Cricetulus griseus: one gene and its partner. The protein of the gene in region 2 binds, or shares a complex with, the protein of the main gene of each other region. Links are inferred from orthologs where the notes say so. Each region holds a gene or a part of one and is shown on either strand. Other genes may lie near its edges.

Region 1 (7,074 bases), about 150 Mb from region 2:
ACGTAGGTGCTAGGAACCTAACACAGCTCCTCGAGAGGAGCAGTGAGAGCTCTGAGCTGCTGAGCCATCTCTCTACCTGATGTGTCTTTTTTTGTGTGTGAAAGACTTCATGCTGCCCCTAAGCTTTTCCATCACCCTGTGGTGGCCTCATACTTTCCCTCTATCTGGAATGCATATGGTATGTCCATTCGTTATACACCCCCACGCTCAGTGACACACTGAGTACCTGAGTACTATAAAGCACTGGACACTGGGAAAGACAATGACAATTCTACTAGAGGACTTGTCATCAAGACACAGAAGACCAACTAGGGAACTAGTGAGAGTGCTGGGAAAGGTCCCTAAAAAGGTGCCATCCACATCCAGCCATGGGATGAAGACGAGATGGCTGGGTAAATATGGGCTAGGCTAGAAGCTGTTCTGAGCAGGAATTGGGCAAGGAACTGTATGACAACTTAGTGACGAGATGCAGGACTCAGGAGAACATGGCTAGAGCAGAGTGCTGGAGGCTGGGGACTGGCTGGGGATGTGGATGGGTAAAAAACAGGGGCCTAAATATATTCACTCTCCTTGCCTTGTAACAGGTCCCCACTGTTGCCATTCCCTGTCTGAGTGACTGAGGAGATACTGATCTCGCTCTGGGGTGGGATTGAGACCAGGCAGAGCCTGGTGCCTTGTCCACTCACAAGTATTGGTTCACATTAATAAAGGACTCCACAAAGTCCAGAGCCACTCTTTTGTTGTATGAAGAAACAACTGGTACCAAAGGACTCTTTCTGCTGGAGGAGGTGGGCTGTTGCCCTGAGCCACCTGGGTCATTAGGTGGCTGACATCATCCATTAGGGCCTGAGCGCACCTGTGTTGAGCACTGAAGCCAGTCGCACCTCATAGTGGGACTTTCCTTCCTGGTCGACCACCTTGAAGAGCCGTGTGTTGTATGCACTGAGATTCTGGAAAAGACCAGAGCAGGGTTTGAGGGACGAGTGGAGGAGTGGCCATCCCATGGACAGCAGTGAGGCAAAGTAGGCTGGGGTTTCTCTTAGGAACCTTTCCAAGCCTACCAGGAGTCATTCCAGGCCAGCCTGGGATGACTGTCTTGCTGTGCTCCACACACTAAATGCTAACTTTAAAAAAATAAATTTAATTAAAAAATAGATACATATGTGCATAGTCACATACATACATACAGTAGTGCATGCCTTCAATTCCAACACTCAGGAGGCAGAAGCTGGCAGATATCTGTGTTCAAGGCCAGCCTGGTCTACAGAGTGACACCTTGTCTCAAAAAACTAAACTAAACTGAAATAATATGCTGGGGCCAAAAGTTACAAGTGCTTACTGCACTGCTTTTGCAGAGGACCCAGGTTTGGTTCCCAGCACCTACACAGTGGCTCACAACCATCTCTAACTCCAGTCCCAGGATAGCCAAGGGCTCCTGAATAAAGGTGGCGCATATTACATACACTCAGTCGCGCGCGCGTGCACACACACACACACACACACACCAATTTTTAATTAAAAAAAAAAAAATGGTCCACACATGTGCCACAGTGCTTGCATGAAGGTCTCAGAATAATTTCAGGAATTAGTTCTCTCCTTCCACCATGTAGATCCCAGAGGATCAAACTCACGTCATTGGGCTTATTGGCAAGCACCTTCACCCCCTGAGGCATTCACCAGCCCCATGAGTGATAACTTTCACTAAGCACCAGCTTAGCCGTGTGAGACATGGAGCCACCTCAGCCAACTCTCAGCTGTGTGAGACGGACATGGGAAACAGCCACACAGCTGGTAAGTGGCTGGGCAGCCAGGCTCCGGGGGCCCCATCTTGGAAGTGTGGAAATGGCTCCTGGGACACATGTAACATCTTTGTCTTCCTGACTGGCAGAGGCTTACCTCACACACAAGATCCCTTAAGTATTTTCCCACTTCAAGGATCCAAAGTGCCCATATGTCTTTTGAGTTCAAGCTGGGACCCAAGAACAGGTGCCCATGGTGAAGGGGCAGGGACAAGGAGCCACAACAAACTAGTATCCCAAATTGCCAATTCCCAAACCTGAGAGTCCAGAAAGTCCTGGGCCAGCTTAGCATCTTCCATGGTACAATTCCCAGAGAAATAGGTGGTAACTCCCTGTTGGGAAGAGACGGTAAGATAGGAGGTGGGTGGGGAGACAAGAGGGCAGAGTTACTGAAGGCTCAGCTGGGACCCTACACATCAGCTGATGGCTTCCTTGCCAGGATCTCTGCATCTCCTCCTAGCGCCTCTCCCATCTATTTCCAGGGGGAGGAGTTGTAAAACAGATTATCATCTTAGACATTTTTTAATGTGTTTTCCTGTGAGACGGGGTCTCACTATGCAGCCCACACTGGCCCTCTCACTCACAACCATCTTGACTCAACCTCCTGAGGGCTGGGATTACAGGTGTGTGCCACCATGCCTTTCCTCCAGCTGGGCTCCCACCCATCCTCTCTAGCTGGCTCACCCCTAGGCCTTGCCACAGCCTCTTCCCATGCAACCTAAGCAATCCCTAGAGGCAGGGACCCTAGCCCCCTACATCATTCCCTCCCAGTTCTTTCTCGCCCCCCCCCGCTTCATGTATCTACACCCTGGCTTGACAGACCTGGAAGAACATTCTGGAAACATTCCATCCAGTTCTCTTCCCATTTTACAGATGACAAGTAGGCCTGTGGTGCCAAATGGCTTTAGCTAGAGAGTAGAGGAAGAGTCCCCTGCCTCCCATCGGCTGCCTTTCCATTTTTACCAAGCAGCCTCAAAGATGCCCTCCACTCTACTGAGCTCTTGGATGGCAGGACTCACCTCCTTCCCCAGTCCAAGGTGTCGAAGCCTTGGCTCCAGGGAGAACATAAGCTCCCCACAGGTTTGCCAGAGATCCCTAACTTCTTCTGGCTGCTGCTGGGCAGCCTTACTCCCCAGGATCACACGTTCCAACTTTTCCTGCAAGGAAAAAGGAAGTCATTGGCCTGGTCACAGGTCCTTCAAACCTTCAGAACCTCCCTCTACTTGAACCTAAGACCTCATAGCATATCCCAGGAACAACAGCATCACCAAGCCCTGAGAAGAGCTGAGCCTCAGGCTACCACAGACCTTCTCCATCAGACACTGCATTCAATATTACCAGGCCACTTCTACAGGCATTAACATCTGAGGAACCCTAGGGCTCCACCTATTCCCAGTGATGACCAGTGGCCATCTAACAGTTCACATTTACACAACCTGTCCTTGTTTGACTCTCAGATCAACAGTCTGAAACACTTTTCCTTTACGTGTGTGTGTCTGCCATGCATGAGGATGCTGAGTGACACTATAGTCATAGTGTCCCATTGACAGGGTTATGGCTTGACTCTGCACCTTTGACTCCAACCAGGGTCCCTTCTTCATACTCCAACCACAGCCCACCACTGCCTACTTGTCACCCTCCCCAACTCACCTTGGGCAGGTTAGGAACAAACTTGGTGTCACCAAAGGACTTATAGTTGCCCATGTTGGAGTAGACCCCGGCAGCATAGACCAGGAATGCCTAGGGAGTGGAGGCAACATAGCATCAAACACCTGAGAAGCACAGCTCCCTTTTGCTTTCAGGAAAATGTCAAGTCAGAACACCAGGGCATACCAGTATGGAAGAGGCTGGGAAATCTCAGGGTAGAGCCCTGATCCTAGGAGGCCCCAGTCTGACCCACTCCACCATGTAGACAAATTAGTTTCAGGGCTACCAAACACACCTAGGGTGCCCACCGTTCCAAGGGTAGGCACACAAGCTGGCTAGGCTAGTCAGAGAATCACCTCCTCTTACTATAGACTGAACGAAACAGTCAAGCTGGCCAACATCACCAGACCTAGATGTTCTATTACTGGAATGATTAGAGAACACTAAGAGATGAAGATCCCATCTCAAGATAGACTGAACAACTGAATCCAGCTGCACCTGAAGCTTCTTCTAGCCCTGGACCTTGAAATTATGTGAGCTAACAATTCTCTTGCTTTTCGTTTATTTATTTGTTTGTTTATTTTGGAGACAGGGTGTCATTGGGTAGCCCTGGCTGTTCTGGAATTCACAGAAATCCGCCTGCCTCTGCCCCCTAAATGCTGGGATCACAGGTGTATGCCACCATACTAGGCTCATAATTCTAAGCTCATAATTCATTCTCTCTCCCTCTTTTTCAATACAGGGTTTCTCTGTACAACACTGGCTGCCCTGGAATTCACTCTGTAGACCAGGCTGGGCTCAAACTAAGAGATCTACCTGCCTCTGCTTCCCAAGTGCTGGAATTAAAGGCATGCGCCAATACTACCCCGCTAGAATGCTTTCTTTAAGCCACTTTGTACTGAGTTTCTGCTACTTTGGAACAAAAGAATCCCACTGAAAATAGTTGACACTTGGGTAGTACTTCCCATTTACAGGCATTTCCACAGAGATTAACTCTTCCCAAAGTTCAAAGGCGGTGAAGAAACAATAAGCTTGGCTCAGAAAAAAAACAATCTGATCCTTTTCCTTATAGAAAACCAGGTCCCAGCCTCATACACTCCTGGTGGGAACATAACATGTTGAAGCATTTTTTCAAAGACATTTTATTTGAAGAAAGGGTCTCACTATCTAGCCCTGGCTGGTCTACAATTCAATATGTAGATCAGGAACTCACGGAGATCCTCCTACCTCGGACTCCTGAGTGTTAAGATTAAAGGTGACCATGGCCACTACACGAACACCGCCACACATGGTCTTACAAGATAATTTAACAGTATCAGAGCATTATAAATGTACAGAACCTTCAACCTAAAAGCTAGATTTTCTACAAATAGTTTCTACTTAACCCACTTGTACAAGGATGAGCATTGTAAGAAGAAGGAGAAACCATCTAAAACGTCCAGCATTTTTTAAAAAAAAGGACTCATCTGATTACAGTGTACACTGCTGTAGAGTGCTTCACAGCCAATAAAGGGAAATGAATTAATATACACTCTATGGAAGTTCTCCAGGACACAGAGACCTGCAAAAAGGGCAGTATGCAGGACACCGAGAACATGATGTAAAAGGTAAAATGGGGCTGGGGGTTGGTTCAGTACATCACTTGCTGTACAAGCATGAGGACCTGCGTTTAAATACCCAGCACCCACAAAAAAACAGTCATGCATGGCCATGCAGGCATGTGAACTCAGCACTGGAAGGTGGGCGTGTACACAGGCTACCCTGGGAGCTTTATAGTCAGTCAGCCTAGACAGAACAACAAGCTTCGGACTCAACATGAGACCCTCTCTGTGGGCTGGAGAGATGACTCAGTAATTAAGAGTTCTCCCAGAGGACACAAGTTTGGTTCCCAATACCCACGTCAGGTGGATCCCATGCCTCTTGCTTCTGTGAGCACTTATAACTCATAGCAGACACACACACACACACACACACACACACATATGCACACAATAAAACTAAATAACTCTTTGTAAAAGAGGGAGATCCTGCCTGGATGTTGGTGGTGCATGCCTTTAATCCCAGTACTTGGAAGGCAGAGGCAGGCGGATCTCTGTGAATTCGAGACCAGCCTGGTCTGCAAGAGCTAGTTCCAGGACAGCCTCCAAAGCCACAGAGAAACCCTGTCTCAAAAACCAAAAAAAAAAAAAAAAAAACCAAAGATACACAGAGAAACCCTGTCTCAGAAAAACCAGAAAGAGAGACAGAGAGAGATCCTGTTTCAAGGGAGTAACTTCTCTTCTACTATCTACATGTTCAATACTTGCACGTGTGCACACAATGACACACGTGCTGTCATTTTACATTTTAAAAAGTAAGCTAAAGCCGGGTGGTGGTGACACATGCTTTAATCCCAGAACTCGGGATCTCTATGAGTTCGAGACCAACCTGGTCTACAAGACCTAGTTCTAGGTCAGCCTCCAAAGCCACAGAGAAACCCTGTCTCGAAAAACAAAAAAAAAAAAAAAAAAGAAAAGAAAGAAAAAGTAAGTTAAGCTGGGCGTTGGTGGCACATGCCTTTAATCCCAGCACTCGGAAGGCAGAGGCAAGTGGATCTCTGTGAGTTCAAGGCCAGCCTGGTCTCCAGAGCAAGTTCCAGGACAGCCTCCAAAACAATACAGAGAAACCTTGTCTCGAAAAACAAAACAAAAAATTAAGTTAAAAAAATATACTGTGCACATACAAGTATCAGTATCCAATGCACTAGCCATAGTAGCTACCTCTGGAGAGACAATGAGCATGTGTAATTTTTTGTGTTTTGTATGTTTCTGAACTGCTGCATTACACTAAGAAGTAGTGTGTTATTTGATTAATACATCCACAGACAAGAGCTAGGGCACAAACAGATCAAACTACCTAGGTTCCTCACAATGCAGAAGAGTAACTCAAACCTCCTAATTTCCACCCAGGCCACCTTTCTGACCTTCAATATCAGCTGCTAATTCCTTTGTACAATCACTGCAGATTGCTGAGAACTCTGGAACCTAGGCTGGCCTCAAACTCACAACAATCGTTCCACCTCAGCCTCTAGAATTAATGTGTGTGCCACCATGCTTGTCTTGTCTCCCTGCATCTTTTTTGTTTGTTTGTTTGTTTTTTGTTTTTCGAGACAGGGTTTCCCTGTGGCTTTGGAGGTTGTCCTGAAACTAGCTCTTGTAGACCAGGTTGGTCTCAAACTCACAGAGATCCACCTGCCTCTGCCTCCCAAGTGCTGGGATTAAAGGCATGCGCCACCAACTCCCGGCAGGTCTCCCTGCATCTTGAAGCAGGCACTAAGTAGGTCACCACAATACTAAGGGCAGACCACATTCATACTCTACAGATGACAAGCCTGAGGCTACAGATAGGTATATGTATGTGCATTCATGAGAGAGAGAGAGAGAGAGAGAGAGAGAGAGAGAGAGAGAGAGCATGCATGTTTGAGCTAGCAGCCTTTAGTCTTCTACCTAGTTAGAGAGAGAACTGTGTCCCTTGATCCTGGTCCTTCACACCCTTCTAGAGCCAGCCCCCCCCACCCCCCACCCCCGAACACCAGGCTGGCCTGTGAGAACTGACCTGATACTCTTCTTCGGTAAGGCCCTCAGCCAGG
Region 2 (7,638 bases):
TCTGCTGTGATGGAAATAGTATGTTGTGCAGCAAAGGATCCACAAGGCACCCTGAGGACGCACCCAGAATCTGCTACTTTTACTGTGAAGACTTGGTTTAGATGTGACTGCTGAGAAATTTTCACTGACAAATAGTTTCTATTAGAATCTACCTGCGAGTAGCTCAATGGGTAGAGTGCTTGCCTAGCATGCATGAAGTCCTGAGTCCAATCCTCAGTAGCCCATAACCCAAGCACAGTGATGCATTTCTGTAATCCCAGCATTTGGAAAATGGAGGCGGGAGGATTAGAAGTTCATCCCTGCCTACACACTGAGTTTGAGGTCAGCCCTGGCTTTATGAGCTATTGTCTTAAAAAGTAAAGAAAGCCACTAAAATGATTTTATTCTTTAATCAATTTACACATTTTAACAGTATTTTCTAAATTAATAAAACATTGTCCATTTCTATTTCTCAAGAGCATTTTCTATCAGGTTGAATTCTCTTTCATGTCAAGTCTATAGTGAGAGCGGGAAGGCTGGCATAATGCATAGTCCTTACCCAAATCCACCCCAACACCATAAATAAACAAAAAGCCAAAACAAGCAACAGAAATAAAGACAAAATACAACCCTGACTCTGGAGCCCCTAATAGCATCTATCCTCATCACATACAAATATGTATGCATGCATAAATCACACATAATGCAAACCAAACAGATATATATATGCACAAACCACAAAATGTTGTGCAATAATCCTCTGTACACTGTGAATATGTATTATTCTCATTAGTTAATAAAGAAGCTGATTGTCCTATAGTAAGGCAGGGTAAAGTTTGGCAGGACAATAAAACTGAGGATACTGGGATGAAGAAGGGCAGAGTGAGAGTGTCGCCAGCAGATGCAGAGAGAGCAAGATGGGCACGCCATACTGTGAAAAGGTACCAAGCCACGTGGCAAAGCATAGATAAAGAAAAAGAGGTTAATTTAAGTGTAAGAGTTAGCTAGTACCAAGCCTGAGCTATCAGCCGAGCATTTATAATTTATATTGTCTCCGAGGCAGTTATTTGGGAGCAGGGAGATGGGACAAGAAACCTCTGTCTACATGTGACACCCAATGAAAGGTATGTACAAGCCACACAGACATGAAATCACAGAAGTGCACGCATGCAACAATCATACATACATGCCTGTGGGTACAAACTACATACATGCACACACATACATGCACAGCTTTTCTCGAAGACAAAAATACGCATTTGATTCCCTCCTGGTGCAAGTCTCTCAACTGTACATGCCCTGAACTTGGAATGCAGGAAGCTCCAGCAGTCGAGAGCAGGAATATGTGTGTGCCTGTGTGTGCTCTGAGAGCGGGCCTGTGGTTTCATGGGCTTTGTAAACCATAGTGAGACCCTGGAGCTAGGAGAACTGCAGTACCTGTCAGGCATGGTGTGGAGCACATGTGATTTCATTCCATGAGTGAGTATTGAGGAACACAAGCCAAGGGATAACACTACCCCTGGATGTAAGGCTTAGAGAAATTCCTGGTCATAAAGAGGTCTGGGAACACACTGTGGAGGGATGGGAGGGACACTTGGTGTGAGCTGGCACATGCTTATGTGGTGAGGGAAGCTGGGTGAAACCAGTACGAATGTCCTAGGATACAGACAGAGGGGGTTCTGCACCCTCTCACCCTCCGTCCTAAAGAGTACAGGAACAAGGGACCATGAGGACTGCAGGCTACTCAGTAACCCCTCAGAGCAACTAGAAAGAGTCTACACAGCAAGCCTGGCCCAGGAGTTCTGTTGCCTAAGTTGCCACCATAGGGGCAGTTGCTCCAGCTGGGATGGAGGCAATGAAAAGCCAGAGATGACTGTCAGAAAGGTGGCTCATGCTCAGAAAACCTTAGTAGCAAGGGCTACCCACTCTCAGTACAGTGTGCCTCCACAACAGGCTTGTCCCTGCTTCCTCACGTTTCACAATTAGCCAGAAATGCTCCAGCGACTCACTTTGCCTCTGTTGGCTGGTTTATTATGCGACCCACAGAAACAGCCAGATGAGGGGCTACTAAGGGCAAGAGGCAGGACAGTTGTGGCACAGGACTTCATCACATTGGGAAACATATCCTCATATGCATTCTTCAGCTTGGAAGTTCTCCAGACCCCAGGGCATAGGGGCCTCTGCATATAGGATTGATGACATCCTTGTCATCACTTGTCAACTCCATCTCAGCCCTTCTCTCTTTGCAGGGGACTGAGGCTGGACATTCCTTTTGATTATATGGCCAGACTCTCCAGTCACTCGTCCTATCCTGAAGTGATCTTGAGGTGTCCAACTACAAAAAGATGTTCAATGTCTGAAGATCCAGTCTTCTAGGGTCAGGAACTAAGAAGAAAGACCTTTCTATCCCTATCTTCAGGAACTCTACTCTTGTGTCCCCAGCCCAGGTCTCCCTGCTAAGCTCCAAAGCTACTAAGGCATTCATACACTCCTCAGGAAAATCTGCCCACAGCTGGCCTTTCCTGAGCTCTTACTCCCTGCACATCCCCCTGGGCTTCTAGCACTGACTTCTTCAGTCCTCAGAGTGTAGGCATTCACGGCTGCAGCCTTGATGCCCTCCTGCAGTTGGCCTCCAACTTATACCTTCTTGTAGCCACTTTACTTCCATATCCAGTGAAAGTCACTCTCCAGCCCCCAGCTCAGATCCCATCATGCCCTGTATCATGCATCTGTTTCCTTCTGAGCCAGGGACTGCTCTGCCAACACCCCCTCTTTCTGCCTTTTCTTTCCCATGCCTTGTCTGGGTGGAGGTAGGTTCTGCCTGTGTCTACTCTATGGCCAAGAGATAGCTTGAGGTTCTGGGTTGTTGTGACAATGCAAGCTTGCCGCCATCTATGGTGGACTGTATGGGGGACCCCTCTGGTAGGCCTTCTCCCTCTGGGCTTGTTGTGTCCTCATCTGTCCCCACACTCTCACTCTTTCTTGGTATCCCACTAACCTCATCCTCTGAAACCCTGTCTTCCCATCCGTTCTCTACACTCGCCAAGAGTAACACTCCAAAAACTCCACCCCCCAAAAACAGACAGCTCCTGTCTAGAAGCCCAGAACATTTTGTTTCAATATGGCTGCACCACAGTTGGAATTTCCCAGCCTCCCCAGATGTGCTAGAAGGTTCCAGAAGGCACTTCCTATTGATGGTATGTATCCACAGCCCATTAGAAGCCCTTGTGCAGAACAGGCAACTAACGCAATTACAGCTGTTCAAGGTTGTACATCCTAAGAGCCTCTGGTGACGTGAGGCTCATTCCCCTGCAGGAGGGCCCCTTCCTGGCAGGTCCTGAGAGGCTTACAAGTGCATCATGAGAGGCTTGAATCCCAAGCCTGTATGGCTGGCTTCAGTTTGTCACAACACAGCTAGTCCTGTGACTATGGCCCTGACTCCAAGGAACTGGGGTAAATGTGTAACTGAACTCAGCGCCAATCCATTTTGCTGGTGCTCATCTGTCACCAGGGCTTCCTGGAAGGGGCCCAAAGGAACATCGCCCTGGCCTTGGTCCATCTTGGCTAAGCTTGGATTCCCATGGCCTCCCGACCTGGATCCTCCCCCAGCCTCTGTACAGAGTAGCTTGGGAATAGATCCACCTCCCACCCCTCCAGTATAAATAAGCCTGTGCAGCTCACCAGGGAATAGCTGTGCTTGTCTGGGATGGAGTTAAAGGTAAGTAGAGCCTTTCAGTTCTTTTCTGGTGCTTCATGGGGTCCTGCTGGGCAGTAGCTGAGCTATGGGTGGGAAGAGGAGGCAGGACGTGGGCAGACGCTGTAAAGGGCTGGCTGGCAATCGTTCTGGAGTGAGGAGCCAGAAGTCTGTGGTGGCAGGTGCTTCAGGAGACATGACCACTGACCATGTCTCTTCTCCTGAAAGGCTAGGTATCTAGGTAGGCTGTCCTCTGTTGCTTGTCACTCATTCTGGGCTCATGGGGAATAGCTTGTCTTCAGTCAGGCAGGATAGCCAGGTCTTCTGCCTCCTGTGAGCCCAGCAGGGTCCTCAGAGGCAGGAGGATTTACACTGGATCAGCACTAGGGTGGCCAAGTCCACGGGACCTATTCCAGCTTGAAGGGAGAACAAGATTTCATTGTTCAGTCTGCAAGCAGCAAGAAGGGACAAGTCCCAGGTCATCTCAAGTAGTATCTCTGTCCAGGCTCAGTGCTGGGGTCTGTGTCTTCTGGCTTCGGAGCCTCAACTTGCCCCTCTGTAAACAGGTCTCATCATGGCTCTAAGGTTCTCTAAGTCTGGGTATGTTAGAAGGGCTCAGTAACGTAGAAATTACTGATAATGTCAGGCTAAGCAGAAAGTTAGCTCCTTTATTTGAACTCACAGAGTTCTGTCTGCCTCTGCTTCCTGAGTGCATTGCCACACCCAGCCCAATGTATGTGTGTATTTATGTGTATGTGGCATGTGAGTGCATGTCTGCATGTGTGGTGTCTGTCTGTCTGTGTATATGTGAGAGAGTGCATATGTGCTGGGAGGGAGAGATGGGTTCAGCAGCCCATGATCCCAGATGGAGACCAGAGGAAGACATTGGGTGTCCTGACTGTTACTCTCCTCCTTATTCCCTTGAGATAGGGTCCCCCACTGAGGTTGGGGATAGGCTGGCACCCCAGAGATCACCCTGTCTCCACCCTCTGCAACCCTGGAATCACAGCTGTATGTGGTCATGACTGGCTTTTTACAAGGGTTCAGGGGACTTGAACTCAGATCTTCCCATTTGTGCAACAAACTGCTCTCAGTTGCTGAACATCTTCCTAGCCTTGCCATTTCCTTATTTCTTTTAAGCGGCAATGTGCACTGTACCTAAATGTCACTCATGGAATCAAGGGTCATGTCTAAGTTGTGGCTGTGTCCTGGTGCAGGTCACCAGACTTGTCTGTTCCTCTATAAAATAGCATTAGTAACTTTAGCTGACAGCTCCCTACTGAGGATCTGCCTCTCCCATTGACCTTAGGAAGGTGGGCTAACCTGTGGACTTGCCGCACTCAGGTTCATGTGGAAGGCAGACCAGTGGGGCACATAATAAATACACAGCTGCAGGAGACAGGGTGCTTCTGGTGGCTTTAGGGAAGGAGGAGGTGACAGAGGTGCCTAGGGAGCCTGGGGCAGGCGTTGAATGATGAAGATGAGCTGATGACATAAGAGCACTGAAAACACAACCTGTCCATGACAGGACAGGCAACATAGCCCTGAGAAGCCACAGGACAGGGACACAGAGAAGTGGCTGATTGGGAGGGAACAGGAGGGGTCTAGAACTCCTCTGTTCTCAGGACTTGATGCAAACTGACTTAGGATGAACTTGGATGGCAGCAGGTTACAGCTGAGAGCAAATAACCAGATTCACCTAAGAACAGCAGTGGCGTGCTTCCTGGGACAGCGACCATGACATAGCTCCCAAGACAGCACCCATTCACAGGAATAGCAATATGGGAGGGACTTCGTGTACCCACATGGGCCATCCTACAACTTGGGAGCCTAAGGCAGGTTCTGCCCCTACTGTGCCTTGGTTTATGATAGCACAGGTGGGCACAGTCGCTCTTCTGTGTAGGAGGGTCCAATGGGCACAGGCAGAGTTTTCCACTCTGCTTTTTCAAACCACAAGACTTCCTTTGAGAATGGTGGGTGGAGCCAGATGTGTGCACCAGGAGGAGGAGGTGCTGGAGGGTCAGAAGCCAAAGGTCATCTGACCAGCGGGATAACCCGAGCAGAGCAAAGAGCACCTTGCCTGTATGTGGAAGATTTTTATGTGCAGCCCAGGCAGGTGCCATGACCTAAGTGTGGAAGGCTAGGGTGACCTCGTAGCTTTGCAACATCATAATGGCATTCTGAGATCATTAACTTATAAAGGGAAAAGTTTATTTTGGCTTATGGTGCTGGAGTTACAGGGCAGCTTCAGACAGACCCATTGCTCTGGACCTGCTGGGGGTATCAGGTAGCAATGGCAGGAACATTTGGCCAAGCAAGCTGCTCCCCATGTAGCTAGGAAGAAAAACCACTAAAGAGGGAAAAACAAATACAAAGGTCCTGCAACCCCTCTTAATGGTGCACCCCACTGACCTCAGGCCCTCCCAACAGGCCCGACACCCTAATGTCTACAGCACCTTCAACAGAACAATGGTGTGCCTTAAGATTTTCACATAGGGACCTTGGGGGTGGTTTGTCAAGCACCATGGAAGATGGAAGGTGGAAGATTGTATGTGTGAAGGTGAAGCAGGGGAAATGAAGGCTTCAAGGTGACCTCCAGTCAGGGCTGAGGCACCGCCTAGCAGCGGTGGCCATGGACAAATGAGGTACGAAGTTGGAAGTCACATGGCAGGATGGTTGTTTCTATAGAAACAAGCCCATGTGGTCTACATGGTCAGAACTGAATGATGGATAGAATTTACCCCACCCCCCAGGATCAGAGGACTAAGATGTAGGGTTTTCACAGTCAGCTCAAGAACCTTCCTCTGGGAGCCCAGGCTGACTGTATGTACTATCTATGATAGCTGAGGCTGGAGCAGGGCTGAGGTTCAAGGGAAATGGGCATCCAGCTCACTGGGTGCCTCCACGCCCCCCTGGTCCATGGCTGGGCAGGGCCCCAAGCACTGTTGGTGCCTCATAGCCATCTGGGCAGTTGACAAATCAATTCCTGACTTACTGTAGACTACTGAAGCCAACCTTGGGTAGGCAGGCCAATTGTGGATTTTCTGTAGTCACTGTGGGATCCAGCCTGCCTGTAGCATATGACAGGTGTGAAAGACCTGAGCTTGGGCAAGGCTTTGGCACCTAATTCTGTCCACATGCTAGGACCTCACAGACACTAAAAACAATCGTAGGGTATACCCATGTGGGTATGAGGGCTCCACATGTAGTTCTCCAGGGATGAATTCATAGCCATTGTCACCTGCATGTCTAGTTCTGTGCCACAGCCTAGTATGATAACAAAAAGAAGCCCAAGGCCAAGCCATGGTCAGAGCTGTGTCTTAAGGCCTCTGCCATTCGCTTTCAGGTTCACTCCTCTACCTGTGACTCTGATAGTTACCTGTGTTCCTGTATCCTGATGTCCCTGTGTGTGTGTGTGTGTGTGTGTGTGTGTGTGTGTGTGTGTGTACACACAAGTATGTGCAAGTGTGTTCACATGTGTATAGAGGTTGTATGACAACCTTGAGTGTCATCTCAGAATGGTGTCTACCTCCTTTGAGACACAGTCTCTCGTTGGCTTAGAGCTCACTTATTAGGCTAGACTGATTAGCCAGAGAAACCCAGGGAGCCACCTCTCTCCACCAAACCCCAGGAATCTACCTGTCTCACTGCCTGAGTGCTGGGATTTCATGCATATGCCAACTCACCTGGGGGATTCAACTTAACCCCTCATGCTTGCAATAGAAGTACTTCACCAACTGATCTATAACCCTGTCCCTAGATGCCTTCTTTGTGTAAGAACATCAGTCAGTTTACATCAGGCCCTACTGTAAGGGCCTCATTTTATCTTAGTCCTGTCTTTAAAGGCCCTATGTCTAAATACAGTCACATTCTGATGAGTGGGGTGGAGCAGGCCTGTAATCCCAGCTACTAGGGAGGCCAAAGCAGGAGGAGCAGAAGTTCAAGGCTGCCTAGAATATTGAGTG

The links.
Region 1: the proteins of Agt (region 2) and Dpp3 are in contact, whole or in part, in a crystal structure (PDB 5E2Q), measured with the Homo sapiens proteins. The link is inferred for Cricetulus griseus from reciprocal best matches to the Homo sapiens genes AGT and DPP3. Residues at the interface, in NP_001369746.2 of Homo sapiens: Asp25, Arg26, Val27, Tyr28, Ile29, His30, Pro31, Phe32; in NP_005691.2 of Homo sapiens: Phe109, Glu316, Tyr318, Glu329, Phe381, Gly385, Ile386, Pro387, Ala388, Gly389, Ile390, Asn391, Ile392, Asn394, Arg399, Val412, Leu413, Val415, Ala416, Phe443, Val447, His450, His455, Glu507, Glu508, Asn545, Arg548, Leu552, Glu555, Phe556.

What each region holds. Positions count from the first base shown.
Region 1 is NC_048596.1:54,358,144-54,365,217, reverse strand, and holds part of Dpp3 (dipeptidyl peptidase 3), read right to left. Parts: coding exon 7,041-7,074; intron 3,540-7,040; coding exon 3,450-3,539; intron 2,957-3,449; coding exon 2,819-2,956; intron 2,132-2,818; coding exon 2,057-2,131; intron 951-2,056; coding exon 857-950; intron 1-856. UniProt on the Homo sapiens protein: Cleaves and degrades bioactive peptides, including angiotensin, Leu-enkephalin and Met-enkephalin. Also cleaves Arg-Arg-beta-naphthylamide (in vitro).
Region 2 is NC_048596.1:201,290,475-201,298,112, reverse strand, and holds the start of Agt (angiotensinogen), read left to right. Parts: upstream 1-3,660; 5' UTR 3,661-3,685; coding exon 3,686-3,697; intron 3,698-7,638. UniProt on the Homo sapiens protein: Essential component of the renin-angiotensin system (RAS), a potent regulator of blood pressure, body fluid and electrolyte homeostasis.